Linked DNA regions of Mytilus edulis. The protein of the gene in region 1 interacts with the protein of each later gene in a biochemical or structural test. Links are inferred from orthologs where the notes say so. Each region holds a gene or a part of one and is shown in the gene's direction. Other genes may lie near its edges.

Region 1 (11,125 bases):
CATAGATTAAAAACTTTCTAATCTATAATCTGATGTACGGTTATAAACATAGAATTTCCCTTATCACAAATAATTCCATCGTTCGATAGCAATTTAAAACAATGATATACGATCAAAAGATCTTCTTTGATGATCTTTGATTAGAATATACCGGTATTATTTAATCTATATTTAAATTCCTATGTTGCTGTGTACATAAGCATCGTTATAGCCAAAGACGCCGATAAGAAATGTTTTGACATTGCGCTCGTGGTTTGACAGGGAGCTCGCATGTCAACCCGTCTGTAGCGTTAATCCATGTTAATCTTCGATTAAGATAATTTTTTAAAAGATTTCCAGACAACCTGACAAATTTCAAATTAGTTTTCAATATGGTGAATAAAGTTGTTTAAATATTGTGTATTTTAATTATCGAATTTCTAATATTGATCCTAAACAATATTGATTTGACATCAAAGGTGAGGGTGGTTTTGATTGAGGTTAATTATTGAGTCATCAATGCTAATTATTTCCCTATAAAAATAATACAATGACATGCCCATTGTTATGTAATAATTAAGAAAATGACAACTTATTGTTCAATACAAAACTGTTGACTAATTATATCAAGGTGACTACAAAATTCTGAAAGGCCGTCACAGTTGACTGGTTTAAAGAAAGGATAACAAAGGAAATGTGTTAACTACAATAATATAATTGCTTTTTTAGCAATTAGACAATGAATGTGAGAAAAAAGTAATTTTTGCCAGAAAATAGATAATATTCCTTTCAAAATTTGATCCCTGATTACAGGTTTGAAATGGAATTTTAATCTAGGCGATCTCGACTCACAATCCAAGTGACTGTGTTCATTACTAAAGATAAGAACAGTGTCAATATTTTGTCAGATAAAATCATTCTTTTTGGCCTAACCTGTGAAATTAACAGATCTTTACAAATCCCCATCTTCATTATCGATTTAAAAATAATTAAATTCAGTATAAAGAATGACTGTCCATTGCTTTCTTCAATAAGTACATTTGCACTCCAAATAGAGTGCCGTCTTTAGGAGATATGTATACATGTATTCAGATATTATTCAAATCTTTGGTATTAGGGTTTGAGCATAAGTGAAGAAAAGAAAAGGGGTTTCACAAATATGAAAAACTCATCGTTGATTAAGCAAAAGGTACCAATTATTAGAAATGTTTTATAAGCTACAGTTTTTCACTAAAGTAATTGTATATCAAGGTGCATGAAAGAAATGTACGGTATGTGAGGATTTCATCCGTGTGTTTTTTATTTAAGTTTTTAACAAATTAAGAATGATCATTTTCAATACTTCTTAACTGAATTTTGTGCCCATTTATTCGCTTATATTTATTTTTGTTTGCCTAGGCCTACTATATTCTCAATATTCCTTAGAATTAGGAACCTTATTATTCTCTATATTTTCTATTATCTTTATATCTTATCACCCTATAATTCTCTTCATTTTGTTTGTCTAGGATTCCATTCTTATGCCTTGTTTTACCCTTTATTCTCTAATTTTGATCCAGTAATTTTCAATCGCTCTCATGCACGAATATAAATTTGAAAAATGTATTTCGATAAAGACTGTTGAATGTTTAACGTCCAGTGGCAAATTAATACTTATTCTGGACGATATCATGTCAATAGACAATACGACATGAGCACTGCTTTGTATTAGACCAACACGCTAAGCCGGATCTTTATCGTAGTACTTCTCAATCTATATATGTAAGCAGGAAAACATGTCACCCAAGCAGCACCAAAACATTACTCAGACTCAGAACTGACAAGTTTTTGCTAGCTCTATATAGTATCCCTTATAATGACGCTTGCATATTGTATATAGAAGCAGCAAATATTAAGTAACTTCTTTAGTTTCACCCTAACAGAGATTTAAAAAGAGGGGCGAAAGATACCAGAGCGATATTCAAACTCGTAAATCGAAAATAAACTGACAACGCCATGGCTAAAAAAAGAAAAATAATAGAAAACAAGACTCAACACAGAAAACTAAAGACCAAATAACACGATCCCAACCAAAGACTTGAGTTTATATCAGGTGATCCGGCAGGGTAAGCAGATCCTGCTCCACACATGGCACCCGTCTTGATGATAAGCAACAACTTACGGCACTGCAGACGAGCACGTTACCACAAGACAAACGACAATGGCAAATAGTTCACGCATATAAACAGAAACCATCTAAAGAATAATTAAAGTTCTTTTAAAAAGGTTTAATAACTATAAACATGGTTGGGATTTATTTTAATAATTTTTGGCCTGAGTTGCAAATTTCAACCTCCAAACCCCCACATTGCATCAAGTCTCTGGCTGTTCAGTCGTTTGTTGTAGAAAGATCTCCTCATAAAAAAATGATAATCAACTAATAAGAATCTGTTTTATGACCGAATATTCGAACATGCTGCAAGATTGTCGAGCTGAGTAAAAAGAAAAGAAATTAACAAATTGATTGTTTTACTTTTCATCTGTATCATATTAAAAAAGAACAAGCTTATCAAAAAGCTTTTTCGTTTTGTATAATATTTACTGAGCAAGACTGATTGCTTCTAAATTCATTTGCTGAACGACCAGTGGCAAATAGTTAACACATATTTTACAATGAAAAGAAATCAATTATATATTTTAAAGAAAGAGGCAGCATTACTTTATACCCTGCATAACAAGTCCCCGTCAAATTAGTTGTATGATGTTGAAAGAGTTGCTTAGAAAATATCATGGGATTCATTAAAGAATTTGTTTGAGGATTTTGTTAAATGTTGTGGAATCAAAGTGATGGGAATTTAGTCATAAGTATAAACATGATTTATATGTTTCATTTAAACACAAATAAAAGAATATTACGACAATTAAATGTGATAAAAATACATAGATAAGGATATTTATAAGAAAAACATGTTTTATTGTCTGGTTTAAGATTAATATAAATATGATAAGAAATTAAAAATTCACACTGTTTTATGTTGCTATACGAAATATCACATAACAGATAAACTAATGTTTATTAACGATAACACGAATTAATTACTGCCGGTACATTTTTATCAATTATCGGAGTTTAAAAGAAATATTTTCTATAAATCTAAGAAACAAAGAATAAAATTAGATAAACTGGCAAAATTAAACAAATAGCAGTAGAAACAAACACCTAGAGGTGTAACATACAACACACTTCGTGTTTTTTCTGCAATAAATATGAATCTGCATGGCTTCACACCTTTGAAGTTCACCTGCTGATAAATGACGTCACCCGCTGGTTTAGATGAATCATTGCAAATGTCAAATTCATAACACTAGTGTACCAAAATCCTTACCATATTAGCGCAAGGGATCAGTGTCATTTTTTTTGTATCAGGTCAATTAAAATTTCAGTCAAGAGGTTAAAAGTATACTTAGTAAACAAGCGGGGGACGAAGAACATGGACAATTGGGTCTCTTGAAATCATTATACGCTTACTTAAAATTGAATAAGAGTAAACTTATCAATATAAATATACGACAAAAGATGCGATCATGCATACACCTTCCTTCTACCTTAAAGATGATACTGATCTTGCCTCATCATATGGCTCATATATTTCTCATCTTTTATACGACTTGCCGAATTATTTTGAATAATATAAAAAAGAAGATGTGGTATGATTGCCAATGAGACAACTATCCACAAAAGACCAAAATGACACAGACATCAACAACTTTAGGTAGCTAACTTGAATGGGCATAAACTTGAATTGAAATAAAAGTTGCTTTTACAGATATACTTAAGTCTTTTTAATACTTTTGCAAAACGTTTACATCCTTTTTCAGTGCATTATCTGTTAATATACTGATTCCGTTAAAAAACAAACATTTAAAAAATACACACAATGTAAAATATACTCGTTGACTGACTTTTCTGGACCTTAATTAACGGCAGTTAACAATGAGGTAGCTGAATTCCTAAAAGTGAGCACACATTTTGTTTGGCAATGTATGATGACGCTTCAAATAAGCCTTGTTCAAGTTAGATTTAAAACCATTCGTAGCTGCACTGTGCATGTTTTGATTTAGTTAATGTTTTTGTATAAAGGTCAAAGTTCAAAGTTCTTTATTTTCCCTGATGGGACATAATGACAACAATACACAATACATTCTGATTCTTAACACATAAACATATAAGACATATAATGAAGATAAAATAAAAATTATAATTCACACGAAGAGGATGAGATAATATTAAAGAATATATATCTATAAACATATAAAATATCACAACACATAAAACAATTGTTATTGTTATTATTTATAAGTTATTTTAGTTCTTTCAAAGTTTCAAATCTTTGATTTTTCTGCCATGCCAGAGTGCCAGCAAACATAGTTTAATAATTTATTAATTCACCATATTAAATTGAGAATGGAAATAGTTTGCTTACAGAGGTCCACCTTGTCTCTTATCCAGAAAAATAAGTTGAAGGAATAATACAAGTCACTAAAATGGAAAAGAGACCAAGGGCAAATGCACTACCATATGATATGGTGTTGGTGTATCTGGACCATTTGCTGTGCATTTTTGTTTGACGATTGACCCCCCCTCCCCCCCCCCCCAAAAAAAAAAAAAAGAACTCACACATATATCCGTGTATGATTCTAGTATTTTTATTATTAGGCTAATTGTTCTTTTTATCCTTCTTACTTAGAAAAAGTTTAACACAGTAATAAGAGAATAACAGATAATGGAATCATATCTATAGGTGATAGAAATTAGAAATTGATGTAGTATACATTTTTTTGTTGTGAAATCATCATCAGCAGCAGCGTACTCCATCATATTTCTTTAGAAACTAAAAGTGTAAACAAATCATGTATAATACACTCGATAAGTATTACAGATTTACTATTATTTGTTGATTGTAAAGCAAATTGCAATTTTTGAAAAATAAAATATTGCCCCAGGCTGTTCTGATAACAATGGAATAGACTATACCGATTGGTAAGTGCGATAAACATCTTACAGAGGACAATTTTCATTGGTCATAAAAATCACATGATCGACAGACCCGCCATTTACGACAAGCGTGGTTTGGATTTATATTTACAAATTTTGTAAACATATTTCATTTGAAAACTGGATTTACAATAATAACAAAGTGATTTGGAAATGTCAACGTTACAACCAAGAGTTCGTAGAGGAAGGCGATCGGCCTTGAGAAAGAGAGAAAATGGATTAGTTAAAACATTGAATTTTCACGATTCCGACGGGGAGTTCAGCCCGAACGATGGTGGGTCTAGCCCATTTCATTCACCGAGTATGGAAAGTTACGATGAGCCAGATTATTTGGAAGTGGATATATCAACACCATATTTAAATTCTACATCTCGTTCAGCAAGGACATTTATTAGTTCTCGGAAATTATCACCAATTCCGTTTGGAATAGACGATGAAAATGATGGTGACGTGGAGGATGACGAACAGCGAGTGCCAGCCCCTGGAAAACATGTCATCTCTCCGGACGAAGCGTGTCCGATTTCACCACCGTCACGTAAGCTTAGAGCATTAAGACTTTTTGATACTCCTCATACACCTAAATCTTTATTACAAAAAGCTAGACGGAGGAGATTGACAGATGAAAGAAAATCAAATTCAAAAGAAAATGGCGAAAAAGTGGAGGCCAATGTCAACCCATTTACACCATGCAACAACAGACCTTTATCGTGTTCAGTGTCATCTGGCATGGCCAGTATAAAAAGAAGCAGAGAGCAAATGGAAAAGTAAGTTTAAATATAGTTGTATTAGACAGTATTTATTATTTAAGTTTATGATCTGACATGAAAAAAGTTGGAATAATTTGAAAATCCACAGCAGTCTGCAGATCACCCAAGTTACTAAGCTGAAATGTATTTGAATAGGTACAAAAATCAACCTTAAACCAGCGGCTTATTTCAGTAGATATTGTGCTTTTTTGTAAATATGGTCCCAAGTTTCATACTACATTTGTACTAGTTCAAACAATTTGTTTCTTAAATTACATCATTCTAAGTTTAGAAATAAAATGATGACTCATTTCTAATGTTAATTGTTAAGTTTTGATTTCTGTCAAGTTGGAGATTTTGTCTGAGGATAGCATTGTGTTTAGTTCGGGTTTGCATGATGCCATCAGCTGATCAGATTTAAAAAAAACAGATCCAGATTTTGTTAATTGCTATTTGTAAAATCGCAGCAGCTCCCATCGTGACTAAAGTTAAGGTTGAGAATATTTCCAAGTTTCATTGTTTATCAACCTTGCATAGCGTTTCAGTAGATATATTTATATGATATCATGTACATATTTTTGTTTGAAAATTCATTTCCTTGACACTTTTATCAAAGTTGTCTCAAGTTTATTTTGAAATAAATGTTTTGTTGCAAAGGCAGACTGACTAGGAATAGGGAAAGAAGTTGATCACCCAAAATTCCTTCATTTCTAATAAATATCAGTACATGTACATATGTTATAAATATTATTTGATTATTTCCAGGAGTTTATTAGAAGATTCAGCTGATGAAATAGAAATAGATATGCCATCAACAAAGGTATGTACAGTTGTATAAATTTAGTTCAGCTGTAAAAAGAAGGAATAAACACTTTTAAGCATTTAAAAAAAATAAAATTAAAATGTAATAAATATTGTCAACTTACTGAAACATTGTTTAGTTAAGAAAGATATTGCAAATAACAAGTGGAAACTTTATAAAAGCTGCAGATAGATATCGATGGAAATTATGCGAGGTTTGGAGAAAAAAAGATTGATGTTCACGTTCCTCATTTGATAAATGTTTGACGAACTTTCTTAAGCAGCAGCAATGATTAATTTCTCCATTCTTTTTCAGAAAATTGCCTTGCATGAAATCAACACATCACGGTATAACGAAGAGTTTCATGAAGTGTGTAAACTTGGTGATGGAGAATTTGGTAGTGTTTACAAATGTATTCACCGATTAGATGGATGTACATATGCCATAAAGAAGTCCAAGGCACCAGTAGCAGGGAGCCAGTATGAGTAAGTATAGTTATATTTTCTTCCCAAAATGGCATACATTAACTACCTAATGTGTCCTTAGATTGAAAATTACAGGTTTTAACATTGTGGTTAACTTGAATTTTGAATGGTTACAGATAGTTTCATCGAACTACACACAAGGTTACACAATCGGTTGAATAAGAGTTAAGATTCAAAAGTTTGGGGGAAACTACCTTAAACAAATATATTTTGCATTTGAGTAATGCTACATGTATCATATGAAGGAATGTAACATTTTACACTATCAAGTACCATACTGGTAAAAAATACAATCGCATGCATATTTCTACTTAAAATTTTAAGCTTGATTGTTTTGGACAAATGTAGAGTCAACATTGAAGCTGAATGAGGATTTGAATGTTGCCCACATGTAGTTGTCTTGTTTATGTATTCCTTTTACTAAACATTTTATTTACTTACTTTCAGGAGGAATGCCATGAATGAAGTGTACGCACATGCTGTTTTAGGAAAACATCAACATGTCGTGAGATACTACTCTGCCTGGGCTGAAGATGATTATATGTACATACAAAATGAATACTGTAATGGTAAGAGCTTCATATTAGGTTGTTTTCAAAATTTGAAAAGAGAACCTTACAAGATTACAAAAAATGAGTTATACAAGGATATAGTAGTGCATCTGCTGTAAATAATAAACTGAAAAACGAAACTAGCTCTCCTAGAAAAAAAGAATCACAGCCTTATAGATGTGAAAAGTAATTGTTGAAAGTCACCCTTTTCTGTCTCAAATTAATTCCAATTTGTTTACTCTGTTTCCTTTAAGGAAGAAGTTAATGTCATTAAGGTTATAAAATTATTTAAACTATTGATAGGTTTCATATTTAAAGTTTTTTTAATTCTTAGGTGGGAGTCTAGCTGATGTAATTGATACCAACAGGAAGACTGGCCGTAAATTGGGTGAGGATGAATTTAAGCAGATTCTCCTTCAAGTGTCGAGGGGACTGAGATACATACACTCCCAGAACCTTGTCCATCTTGATGTCAAACCAGGCAATGTATTCATCCATCGGAACCCTAAGTTCTTGAACTCTCCTGAGAGTGGGATGGAATCTTTGGAGGAAGATGATGAAGTAGAAGAAGCCATTACATATAAAATTGGTAAGTAACGTTAAAACTAACAAGTTGTTGTGTGGTGAGCGAGTTAATGGACAGTAATTTTTCCAAATTTTGGTTATTTTCCTTCTATTTAAGATTACATGTATATAAAATTTGTTTTGAGGAAAATATTTTAAAAAATTTAAAAATTCAGATCAGCATTTTGAATGATTATATTGCCCATGAAGTGCAAGATCTTAACTTGGTTACCTGTCATCAGAAATTTGTGATTTATGAAGTTTTATGACTGTTAAGAAAAGTATATTCCTCTTTTTCATTGATACATTGTATCATAGAAAGCATGGGAAGGTGTAGCCTTGTCCAAATATTTGTACACCTTTTAACATCAGTTGTAACATAATATAATTTTATCATTGCAGGAGATTTAGGTCATGTAACATCAGTGTCTAACCCAACAGTTGATGATGGAGATTGTCGATATTTACCAAAAGAAATTCTCAATGATGACTATGAGAACCTGACTAAATCTGATATCTTCTCACTCGGATTAACTATGTATGAAGCGGTAAGTTGTCTAGATATATAAAAATCCCTCCAAGTTCCTAGATATAGTGAAGAAATGCTTTTCAAAGTGATCAATATTCAAAGAAAAAGATACACATGTAGCAATAAAAAATTGTAAAGGATCATATTTCGTTTATATAATTATTTGTGTCTATCACTTAATTTGAATGTTGTGAAATAAAAAACTGACAAGTCTATGCCAAAACCTTTTTCATCTACCGGTCTGGAAACTTGTTTGAATCAATATTTACTTGTCTTGGATATCTGTCTAGTGGCTTAAATTGATGCTGGATTTGAGATAATACCTACCTATCCTTTCATTTATTCATTTGCACTCATACCAATATTTTTCTATTACAGGCAGGTGGATATCCCTTACCTAAGAATGGACCTAAGTGGCATGCCATCAGACGTGGTGAATTACCATCATTACCACATCTGACTGTAGAAATGAACCACCTAATCAAAGTAAGTTCAGCATTTGTTGTCAATGTTAAAGAACATCTAGGGAAATAATAATTTAATTATTAAATTGTGTTTAGACAAAGTTGATCAGATTGGTAATAACGAACTATAAAATTATATTATGCAATCTGCAGCTTGATACAGGTTATAATTTTTGTTTTGAAAAATGGAAAAAGAACTTTCCAATATTTTGTTATGTAAATATAGAAGTCTTGAATGTCTATTGTATATATGTATATTTTAACAAAATAAAAGAGCATTTTTGAATCACAATTTATAATATGCTACTGATTTTGAAGAGAAAATGTATTTATTATTTTATTATTTTTTAAAGAGTATGGTAGACCCTGACCCAACACAAAGACCTTCAGCAACACAAATTGCACAACATCCTGTCTTGTGTCCGCAGGCTAAAAAATCAAAAGCCCAGCTTAGAAAAGAACTGAACGAAGAAAGATTTAAAAACCAGATGTTATCAAGGTACTTAAATTAACTTTTAATATCTATAATACTAAAATTACGAGGTCCAATTTGTCAGCCGTCATCACGTAAAAACGACGAATCAAAGAATTCAACTTTATATATAACTAATATAGTACAAAGGTGTAGATTAAAAATTACACCACTCCAGGCCCTTTTGTTTTCCACGTAATTAATATTGCCAATAATTAAGAAGTTCCGGATCGAGTCCGATACCGATACCAATAGTATATTCACCTGTTACCTATTACCTTATCTGTACGTTCCGCATCTGACAGGCGCACCACCAAACGGTGTATTCAGGATTAATATGCTATATACACGGGTCATAATCACAGGATTGACACTACTAAATTGTAGTATTTTAATCAGTAAGACTTTCTAAGACAACAATACGAATACTAAACATCTGGACTAAAAATAAGGCGTATAGGTACAGTTTGCAATTTGTTAGCGGGCATGACTTAAAACAGCGAATCAAAGAATTCAACTTTATAACTAATATAGGACAATGCTGTTGATCATTAAAAAATACTCCATTCCAGGACCTTTTGTTTTCCAAATAATTAATATTAACAATAATTGATAAGTTCCAGTTCGACGGGTTCAAACAGAAAGATTCAAGTTGAAAACAAAGAAAACTGTGTATCTTATAATCGGCATGACTTTATCAGATGACAATACTAATACTAAAATAAGGCTTGCGCAAAGTTATATACTTTAATTCAGTCACGGACCTGCGATATCACGGGTGTGTTCTAGTACAATTTAAAAAATATGATATGATAGCAAATGAATTATCATGAACTATCTAGAAGAGTCCCACAGACAAAGTATGAACTTTTTGAAGCATTTAAAGGTCACCATAAGGCCTCCAACAATGAGAATAAAAGATTGTTTTGCAATGTGATTTTGACATAAAAAGAAGATAAATTAAAAAAAATAATGTTGTTATGCCTCAATACTTGTAGAAAAAGCCTGGAACAGTGGATGCTCAAAAGAATTGAATTGGAGATTAAATAGTTGTATATTAATACACACATGTAAAAACTGTAAAATTTAATTTTTTAAAACATCATATTTTATAATTTGTGCATTCAATTCTGTATACAACATTCTAACCTTTTTTTTTTCTCTTCAGAAAATTAATAGAAGCTACCCAGTGCCTTGTACAGAATACCCCCGTGTTTGCACAGCCAGATAAAGTGAGTCGACTAATTGGAAACAGAATGAAAAGGAGCTTAAGCATGACAAACTTTTAAAGAGAATCAATTTTACGCTGAAGGAGGACACTGTGCAATACACAATTTGTAAAAATAATTGTATAAAGACTGGACCCTATTATACCAGTATAAATTTGTTATACATTGTTATGTAATATTTCCTGTTAATGTGCCAAGACAAAGGGTTAACAGATTGGGCATGTTTATTTTCATATCATAGTTCTATTTATATTCATCTGTTGGAGATG
Region 2 (11,125 bases), on another chromosome or scaffold:
TCAGGCGGAACGAATTTATAGGGTCGGTCGGTAAAGGGCAAACAAACAATATTTTAATTTAAGCCTGGTACAAGTTTGCTTAAAGCTTTTAGTAGTACAAGACTACAAGCTGAAATTGGTAATCATGAATGGTACAGGATATGTATCTTACACCAAAAAATTATGACGTCTTGAAAGGCTGAATAATTTTTAGGCAGTGAAGTATTCTACTAAGCGTATACGTAACAGCAAAAAATTAAAACAGTCTTTAAAGATGTCATAAATTATAAGGGGATGAAGTCCCCTATTACAGTAGAAAAATAATAAATAAAAAATTTAATTTCCCGCAAAAAAAATCTTCTTCTAATGAACTCAAAATACAAAATGTAGTTCACATTTTTTTTTAGATTTTTAATTTTCCTGCATCTGCGGAGAAATCTACTTACATCTTCAAGTTCGTTTTTCATGAGACTATGAGATAGCGTTTTTTTCGTTTACATTGAATATAACGTCATACATTTGTAACTTAAATAACGTCACAACTATTAAAAATCCCTAACAACAGAACCAAAATAGGAAACGTTATGGTATTATCTGTGAAAGGTTATGGTATTTCCGTTTCTCTTTTAACAGATTTTGAAGTTAAATTATGTGTGAAATAAAAAAAATTAAAAAATCATTTAGACTTTGTCCCCTTTCACAGATAATGCCTGCCTCATAATCATATTATAATTATTAAGACTTAAGTTATCTGTACAGTCTCTCAGACTCAGAATTCAATACAAAAGTTATATCTTTAAAGTTCTAAGCATGGCTTAGTTTGTTTTCTTTTTATAGACCCTCGTCCCTCCTCTAATTGGAGGCTGTTCCTGAGTGCCATATGCAATTTTGATACACATGTATGCCAGTGCCAGTGTTGATCAAGTGTTTTTTTGGAGGAGGAACGCCCTACAGGCGACTTTTCGTATTTAACTGGCATAAAAAGTTCAAAATAAATATATGTCACAAAACATAAAATTCTTAAATAACAAATATTACCTACACCAGTAGTTTCCTTCAAAAGTGAATCAATTCATCAAAATGTGTCAAAATTCTTTCCTGGTGATTTGTTTTGCTTCGAGAATTTTTAGTCTCTTGAGGTTTCTCATTCTGAGGGATAAACCAAGAAAATATCGAAAATATTTTAAAATCATTCAAACGTTTGTAAATTATATCTAAATTTAGAACCAGCTTCGATCAACATAATTCCGAAAGTATATCCAATGTATAAAAAAATATACAAGAAACCTGGGGACGAATGCATTTATTTATCTTTTAGTTCAAGAAGATACATATAATACCTCATAATTGGAGATCCTTATTTTCTAATGTTATTTCTAAATTTCACTATTCTTTATTTTGTTTGTCCATTATTCTCTATTCTATATATTTTACTGCGGCACCCTCCGAGGGCACCCTACCAGTTATTCTCCATACATTATTTTTGGCCTATTTTTCACTATTCTGTATTTTTGCACACCCCACCAATCCTTCATAGTTTACAATACATATCCATATGATATTACAATAACAGCAGTTAACTGTTAAAAAGTATATAGGATTTTTTTCTGAGACAAGTGCCTGTGGTTACAGTATAATACCTAAAAAAAATAAAATAAAAATGGGGGTTCATGCATTTCCAAAGCACCTATGTTATTCATATACTATTTTTTTTATGTCGCGTTGTTAATTATTCAATTAATTGTAAGCATCCACTATTTTCCGGTTTAATGTCTTAAGTTCATTCTTCATTGGATCTTCAACAACACTCAATCACTCTGATTCAAACACAAAATTCTCTAAAACTGACATAATCAAGATAGATGCTTGATTTCTTGATTGACAATATACTTGTTACGTTTGGAGGATGTGTGTTTTCAACAGACTGTCGGCAATCCAATGGGAACCAATTGCATGTGCCCCTCTTCTTGTCGATTTTTTTCTTTATTATTATGAGGCTGACTCCATACAGGAACTTCTTAGGAAGAAAGATGAGAAGTTAGCAATATTCTTTAACTTTACTTCCCGCTATATAGATGATGTTCTCTCACTAAATAATTCCAAATTTGGTAACTATGTTGAACGCATCTATACCATCAAAATAGAGATAAGAGATACAACAGATTCAGTTAAGCCTGCCTCATATCTTGACTTACATCTAGAAAATGACAATGAGGGTCGATTGAAAACAAAACTTTACGACAAAAGAAATGATTTCAGCTTCACAATTGTGAACTTTCCATTTCTATGTAGCAACATTCCAGCAGCACATGCATATTGAGTATATTATGTCCCAACTGATACGATATTACCGAGCTTGTATTTCCTATCATGATTTCCTTGATATAGGGTTGCTGCTCACAAAGGAGCTTTTTAAAAAGAGTTCCAAATAGTTAAATCATCCCTTCGTAAATTTTACGGACGCCATCACGAGTTGGTTAACCGTTATGGAATAACTGTTTCACAGATGATATCGGATACAGAGGCGGATTTAAGGGGGGCAGGGCCCCCATTTTTTGAGAAAAAAATTGGTTGATTATATAGGGAATCACTGAAGCGTGACGGGAGCAGGCCCCCTCTTAGGCAGGCAGTGCCCCCCCCCCCCCCCCCCCTTATGAAAATTTCTAGATCCGCCACTGGGATATGTTCCTTATGTCGTAACTACAACCCACTTTTCATCACGGAATGTGACCTACCGAATTAGACTATTTACTGGGTTTTGTAATAATGAACCTGAGCAACACGATGGGTGCCACATGTGGGAGCAGGGTGTGTTTACCCACTTGATATCACCCCTAGTTTATCATGGTGGGGTTCGTGTTGCTTAAGTCTTTAGTTTTCCGTGTATTGTGTCTTGTGTACTATTATTTGTCTGCTTGTCTTTTTTATTTATTTTATAGCTCCATGGCGTTGTCAGTTTATTTTCTATATATGAGTTTGACTGCCTCTAGCTCTTTTTACGTGAATTCTATACGAGGCGCTCAATTAAAAATGATTATTGATTGATAACATAAAAGCAAGAAATACAAAAAAACAGAGGCACTTGAGGTCTACACAATTTTGAATAACTTACAAATTTTGCTTCATATTAGATATTCATGGTATTCTTTTAGATACAGAAACATCCGTGAAATACAGTTACTAGAGATCGAAATACTTCTATTACTTTTCTAAATAATTAAATCTTTTCATTTCGCTGGCCTGCTGCTTTTTTACGGAATACTATACGCCGATATTTCCGCTTTGCTACTATGAACGGCGAGCTTTTTACATTTTAGAAATCTAGTCAGTCCATTCCTGGGGTAGTTATAACTGTTGCTTCTCTGTTTGCAGGATTTATTAAAATCTTTTCTCCGCTTGAATTGTATTTAGTTTTGTTTCTTTGTGCTAGCCAGCTGATCATCTTGTATAGTTAGGTGCGGTGTGCTTGCATCTTGCGAACCGACTCCAGTCCGGATGGTCCAACACAATACGTAAAGTGCAATAATTGATAATATGATAACCCTGTCTCTATTTGTATTCCCTTTCTTAAGTTGTCTAAAATTGTATGTGATGACCAGAGTAAAGACATCTTAGTGTACTAACTACAGTAACACAATTATAGAGCCATGGCAACAGTGTTCTTTTTACTTATGTGCAATTTGTGATGTTATCAGGTAGTTGGTTCAAGTGGCAGTTATAGTTCTTGGAAACAATATACTTGACAGTCTGTACTAAGGATACAACCCCGGGTGCATGATGGAATAAGAATGATCAAGAATGTCATGTTTTTCAAGTTTGTGTGGACTGATTGACTTTATCCTTATCTACATGTACCAAAGAAAATAAAGATAGTTACTAACTTATTTAAAAAAAATCTTAAACTGTCGTCGAGATTTATATGTGCATTTATTTTGTAATATTTTTTTTGTATGCTAGAGTTATGCTGCCAGTGTCAGTTTCAATCTAATTAAAAACCGATCTCTCATCGCTCCTGTTTCTGATATGTCGCGACATATCAGAAACAGGAGCGATGAGAGATCGGTTTTTAATTAGATTGTGTCAGTTTAAGATAAATATTTTTTTTCAAATTCAAGTATATTTTACGGGATAAAGCATATATGATAAACTTGTCATTGCATAATGCAAGTGTACAAAATACATTTCATTTACAACATGTTTTTATATCATGAAGGTTAAAGCTCATCAGAGCTTATGTATAAATGTTTGTCAATATGAAATAATCTTACTTTATCAATATACGGAATATACACATAGTTTTATCCGCTGTTGTTTTATATATTCGACTCTCCATTTTAAACACTTTTTAACCCTGATCAAGCCGCTATTTCCACATTTTTATTTTTCAATCGGCACGATGTCAGACGTACCAGAAGGATGGGAAAGGAAAATAAGTCGCTCAAATAGTAATTTATAACAGAATTTAACTAGCAAACTATCATTTAAAATTAAGATCGATCATCCCAATCACGTTGAGTCACGAAATTTGGGCTAACACTCACTCTCGGCCCTAGTCCAAATAATTATGACATCTTGAAAGCTAGTCCAAATAATTATGACGTCTTGAAAGGCTATTATAATTTTTTCTATGACGCCTTACTTCGACGTAAAAGAAAAAAATTAAAATAGCCTTTCAAGACGTCATAATTATTTGGACTACTTGAAAGCCTGTTATAATTTTTTTCTTTGACGCTAAAAAAATTATAATAGGCTTTCAAGACGTCATAATTATTTGTTCTATCTCCGCCACATACAGTGAAACACTGTCACTGACCAACAGAAACTGATTTGTATGTAATAAACGGGTGCAGGTCGTTTCGTAACCTGGTCGTTTCGTAACTAGTCTATTTGTAACTTACTAGGTTGTTTCGTATCTGAGACATTTTGTAACCAATATCAATATATAATAATAATATGAGTCGTAGGTTACTTAAAAAATAATAAAAAGACCTATTGGTGTACCATGTATATTTATTTATTAAATAATTGATTGCACCTAATTTTACACTTTACAAGTACAGTTTTGCACATATGCGAATAGAACAGAAGAATTTAAATTGTCCATCATCATTTAGATGTACCCCGTCTTTATCAAACTATTTAGTCGTCTGCCACGTGCTGTGATGTCTTCAATACTTGACACCACTCATCTTTATGTTGCTGAGTTCTTTATTAATCTTTTTTTTTCCATCATAAGGTTTCTTTCATGTTTCTTGTTTTTAGTCTGACGATATTGGAGCCTATAACTACAGAAAGAACACCAATTAGCCAATAATTAAAAAGATTTAAGAAAGTTTTAAATTAAAAACATTACAATATTGTTTTTATTAGATGAAAAATTTGATAATCTTTTTACAATCCCAATTTGTGACAAAACCTCAAATTTGCTACTCAAATAAGTGATTTAAAAATCACTTATTTCAGTAAGTCCCCTGATAGTCCAGTCGAATTGTGAAAAAATTGCTCAGAATGTGGTAAAAGCATCAAACTTTGCAGAGTGTTAGTTGAGGTCATAACTAACATTTTTAGCTATGGACCCAATTTAGAAAATCAAAATGGCGGCTCTGGGCGGCCATTTTGAAATCATGTCCAAAAAAATAATAAAAATAATTAGAAAAAATATGAAAAATATATTTCTTTACCAATTTTGATAAACTTTCGTATTTCTTATGACAGAGAATATCAACTGAGGACTATTGAAGCATTTAGTGGCCATCTTGAATGGTGGCCATCTTGGAAACGTAAATTTCCAATATATCATTATTCGCTATCCTAAAAAAAAATTTGTATTAATATTAAGTTTTATTTGCATTTACAACTAGTTTTGCTAATCATTTATTTATGACTGTTAATATAGGATATATTCACCAAGTGCTCAAATAAGCTATGCGTATGTAAACACGGTTAACAAATAAATGTATGTAAAGAAATACGTACATTCTTTTAATTGCAGTTAAGCATATAGGGCTCAGTTACATGTTTACCTTCAAAAAATGTGTATATACAATATGAGTTATGACCACTGTATGTTGAAAAGGAAAACTGCGTAGCTATTACAATCACTGGAGCTGAAAAAAATAATAAAAAAAAATAGACTGGAAAGAATTCCGTAACGCGAAGAGAGGACACGTAAGGATTTGCAATGCCAGGCAAATACAAAAAGAGCAGACATAGACATTTGAGCTGGTAATCAGTCAGTTGTTGTAAGCATAAAACTGTTCCAAGTTGATGAAGGACATGTAATGGGAGAATCACAAGGCAAAAGGTAATAATCCTTTCAAGGCAAATCTTAAGATCAAAATATATTTTGTCAGGAAAAACGAAAAAAGTCTGATGAGTCACGGATTGAAAAAAACCCAGTAAAATAACCAGCCACAATTGTGATGAATCAACAAGAACAATAACTGCAGGGTGTTTTGTTTTTCTTTCTTTTTGATGAGGTATCTGACTATCATTCATCATCAAGCATCGACAATTATGATCGACAATAGTGTACGTTACTGTCACTTGAACTACTAACCATTGTTCTTTTAGCCAGACTCAGTGCAGGAGATTCATATTTCAAGAGCAGATAACATGCTAAATGTTTGTTAAAACTGCACGATTAGACAATTAGACGGAATTCGAGACACAGAAAGAAAGTCAGTAATCTGTTATCCATGGAATGGGCCTCGCCAAAATGATAGAAACAGTGACGGCTACAGTCTGGAATTGTTTTAATATTTGAAATTGATGATATCTGTAAATTGTACAGTGAATGTTCTTAGTAAATATGAGTTGTTATGAAAGGAATGATCAATACAACACTTCTAAAAATTGAAAACTAGCTGCCATAGATGATATGCAAGAACACATGAATAGTTGCGTCTTTCTCTGGATTCTCAACGAATATGTTGGGGATGTTCTGAAAAAGGCCATGTCTTTTAGTCGTGATGGTGAAGGCCTCTTCATAGTCAAAGTAACTAGAATAGTTTGAAGAGTTAGGCTTACTACTATAAAAAGGTTTACAGGGACACTCAATATAGGCTTTCAAAATGAATCAGTTCCACAATCTTTGAGACATCTTACTCTCTATCCGATGGCTGATAAATTTCAGTTGTATCCTTTCGACTACGAGTTGCACAATTGAACTATTATAGCTGAGAAATAGTATGTTTGTCTGCCACTCAACGATATAACTGGACTGTGTCACGATGGTATGCCATCATGTATCATTCTTACTGAGGAAACTTATGTCTGTTGGACTGATTCGTGTCAACAGCGTTTACTGAGTGTCCCTGTAAAGCTATTTTAGTATCAAGCATATATATATTTGCCTGCTATGGCTATGGTGATGCCTTTATTTTTACCCTTTTATAAAGAGGTCTGTTCTAGAGCGTCACGAATACCTTTGTTGAAAATCAAGAGAACTAATTTATCTTGCTTGTATGCTTGCTATGGCAGCTACATTCCAATTTTGTTAACAGCGTTGTATCAGTTCTTCCTTCCATGAAAACTCCAAGTTGTTCCAGGCGTTAACTGTACAATTTAGCGTGATGTGCAAGCTTGGAGATTAGTACAATACCTCTTCCAGACCGTGTGCCATCAATGTATTTTATTATTTTGGAAAGCATAGCTCTAATGATAAAAGATTCCTGGCTTTCTTTCTGTGTCTTGTACTCTCTGATTTGCTATGTTGTCAAGTTTTATCAATCATCAAGCAGGATATTAGTGAGTTGACATCTTCAGCACTTACTTTGGCTAGGGGAATATGTCTTGTAGTACAGGTGCACAGTCATGCCCTATTTTTGTCGATTTGAAAATGTCGATGTATCATGGAGATCTTCAGATACATCACCACAGAAAAGATACACTTCAGTCATTGATTTGGTTGATCCAGTATCACCTTACATTGTCTGGTTACTTATTGTTTTCTTTCAATTGGCAACTTATCTAGTATGTTTTCCCTTTTACTGATGAAATATTTTGAGATCTGAACATTTGTTTGACATGAGTTGTGCCATTATGCCTTGTGATTCTGGAGTGCTTCTGCAGTTCCATAGCCCTCATTCAACTGTTTTGAATTGAGCGAAAGGAAAAGCATTTCAAAACCCAACATCTTCATATGTTTGCATCAAAAGAGTGATTGCCAGCTCAAATGTATATGTCTGTTCCATTTGTATCTGCTTGGCATTGCAAACCCTCACATTTCCTCTCTTGTCGTTTCACACATTCCTTACAGTCTAGTCGCCCATAATGTTCTTCTGATATCTAGCCCCAGGGTTTTCGAAATCTACAATTTGTATCTTTTCCAACAAAAACTTTCGGTCATAAATTATATCATGTATACGTAATTTCTGTTTTAAAAAGTTACTTAGGCAAACATGTAAGTAACAAAAATTCTGACACTGATATCTTTATTATGCAAACATGTGCATGCCTTATCTGACTTCTTTGTGAATATCAAATATAGATTAGTAAAAAATGTATGAATGCAAACAGTGAATTAATAAGATAAGCAAATAATGATATATTGGAAAATCATGTTTTCAAAATGGCCATCATTCAAGATGGCTACCCTAAAAAAAATCAATATATATGAAGTTCTCAGATGACAGGCCTTGTCATCTGTGATGAATATACCATATGACTATATAATAACTTCCTGCAGTAAGCGCTCAACTTATACATGTTATAAGTCAAAGTGAACACGGTTCCTAAGGAAATGCAAATGTGTAAAAAAAGTATTAAGTAGTACTACGATATGTAAACGTGGATGACAATGTGATCGAATATGATAGACAGAGTGTGATTTGGTAAAACATATACATTTCATTTATTGTTAGATATTTTTAACGTCAATTGAAAACATTTGCGTAATTGATGTTCTTTTAACATTACTTGCATGATATGTAATTCATTATGTCTGCAACCAAGGTTTTTGAAAGTTTTTTTAAATGAGCAATATCAACATAACGAATTATCCTGTAATCAGACAATTATTATAAACGACAGGTATACACATATTTTCTTGCTTTATTTGTACTTGTAAAATAAAATCTCCTGTTATTCTATGTTGAACAAGCGGTGGAACGAATATTGGTTTTAGAGTAATAGTTCATTTTATGATCCTCTTCGTGGTCCGCGTTTTAATGCTATTATACCCGATACACAACAGAAGAATAACTCGGGGAGGAGGGTATGCTCACTTTTTTTCCTATTTATATAGCTCAAACAAATACATTTGTATATCTTCGACAATGCATTTTTTTTTTTTATTTTTATCGAAAAATGACTACATATTTTGGCTTAAAAAATCAAGACTTTTCAAGATGGCCGCCATTCAATATGGGAAATATTTCCAAAACTTTTGTTCAACAAGACAATTGAAATCGGCACTGTTGTTCTATTAACCAGGTTTCATGTCAACATCTTCTCTAATATCATTTTCATGATTTTTTTTTATTAATCTACAAAGATTTAACGGCCGCCATTTTAAAATGGCCGCCTCGTCCACAAATTTCGACTTTCAGAGTGGGTCCATAGCTTGAAATGTTGTCCATGACATATACTACTACTATGCCAAATTTCATGCTTTTACCACAATCTGAGCAATTTTGTCAAAAATCTGCACAAATCGACTGGACTATGACAGATAACCATATATACATTTAATTACACCAGGTACAAAACGTCTCAGTTACAAATCAACATAGTTACGAATCGACCAGATAACTGCCAGACTGTCATGAAGTGTGTCCAGTTTAAGGGCAATAATGCCAATATTTTTCTTGATAAGACCTCATGATCAGTGTCACCAGAGACATGTACATTTGTATATACATGTTTGTCTCTGGTGTCACTTAGTGGAGGTTTCATTGGGGGGTTCTGATCCCGTATACTGCTTACTGTTTTGTCAGATTCCCATATCCTGCTTACACTATACATTGTATGTAAGCAATTCTCATTTTTTCCCATGTCCCGCTAGACTTATTTGCCGTTTTCGTGTCACGCTTACAAAAAATCTGCAATCCTGTGTCACGCTTAGACCCAAATGAGACCCATCTTAGTGACTCACTGAATGCTCTGACACAGTCAGAGTCAGTCATGTTTGATTTATATGTTTTAGAATGATGAGAACGGAAGAAATGAAGCAAACTATTAACCTTTTATCCAGATGTCAAATTTAGGTTGATGTACGTTTTCGAGTAACAAGCAACGGAACTTAGGCTGGCGAAAATGCACGAAGTGATAAAAAGTTGTATTTTTATCAAATAACCTGATACACACTGCGAAGACAATGCTTCAACCTCTTTTCTAAAGATAATGAATAGTTTATGTCTGAATTTCTTTAATTATCAGTAAAAAATTGATGTTTCATCAACTTGGTAAAAATTGAAAATGTCCGATGACGGAAGCGACTGAAAGCGACTATCGTCAAGAACAGGGCGACTTGTTTTCGCTTTTGGGGGTCGGGGAAAGCGAAGTGACGGTCGGCAGGGCGACTTCTTCGCCCAAGTCGCCTGGTAGCGTGAGCCCTGGATGATATACACATGTATTGTCTTCAAGTGGGGAAAAGTTCCTCTTTTAGCCCCCACAATAAACTGTAACCTATAACTGTCATGACTGTGTTCATATACTACAGTATGGAACTCTTGCCTGTAAGTTTCAGTCTTCAAGGGAGTATTGGCTGTAACATCATGATGTGTGCAACAACAGCAAAAACCTAGAATAATAATTTTAATCACTATAATTATAAATCAATACTTGATTTTGGGTAAAATAATCTTAAAAGAGGCAATACAAGTTTAATCCGTCTTCAATCTTTGTTTCAATCACTCAATGATTTGGGTAGTAATACTAATAGAGATGCAATGCCAAGACATGTCTCATAAAGTATTGTACACATATGATATTTATATAAGCGGTTGTAAAACAGGGATCCCTCAGTAGCATATTGAGCATAAGAGGATTCTAAATTGGATCACACAGGGTCTTGTGTAATTGTCAATTCTTTCTTCAGATAAGGAGTACTTTTTGAATATTTACACAAAAGAAAGTCAATGGGACATGCCTACAGCCCCTGCCAAACAGCAAAGTGCAACTGTTCAGGCTTCACACTTACTTG

Evidence for each region. The genes of interacting proteins can lie anywhere in the genome.
Region 2: the proteins of wee1-like protein kinase (region 1) and putative peptidyl-prolyl cis-trans isomerase dodo form a complex in vitro, tested with the Homo sapiens proteins (2 studies listed by BioGRID, with this or other methods). The link is inferred for Mytilus edulis from reciprocal best matches to the Homo sapiens genes WEE1 and PIN1.

Annotation. Positions count from the first base shown.
Region 1 is NC_092353.1:56,281,664-56,292,788, reverse strand, and holds the start of wee1-like protein kinase, read left to right. Parts: upstream 1-5,040; 5' UTR 5,041-5,167; coding exon 5,168-5,778; intron 5,779-6,525; coding exon 6,526-6,580; intron 6,581-6,877; coding exon 6,878-7,047; intron 7,048-7,494; coding exon 7,495-7,616; intron 7,617-7,932; coding exon 7,933-8,187; intron 8,188-8,564; coding exon 8,565-8,710; intron 8,711-9,069; coding exon 9,070-9,177; intron 9,178-9,508; coding exon 9,509-9,654; intron 9,655-10,795; coding exon 10,796-10,916; 3' UTR 10,917-11,125. UniProt on the Homo sapiens protein: Acts as a negative regulator of entry into mitosis (G2 to M transition) by protecting the nucleus from cytoplasmically activated cyclin B1-complexed CDK1 before the onset of mitosis by mediating phosphorylation of CDK1 on 'Tyr-15'.
Region 2 is NC_092345.1:76,060,481-76,071,605, reverse strand, and holds the start of putative peptidyl-prolyl cis-trans isomerase dodo, read left to right. Parts: upstream 1-4,270; 5' UTR 4,271-4,375; coding exon 4,376-4,424; intron 4,425-11,020; coding exon 11,021-11,125. UniProt on the Homo sapiens protein: Peptidyl-prolyl cis/trans isomerase (PPIase) that binds to and isomerizes specific phosphorylated Ser/Thr-Pro (pSer/Thr-Pro) motifs.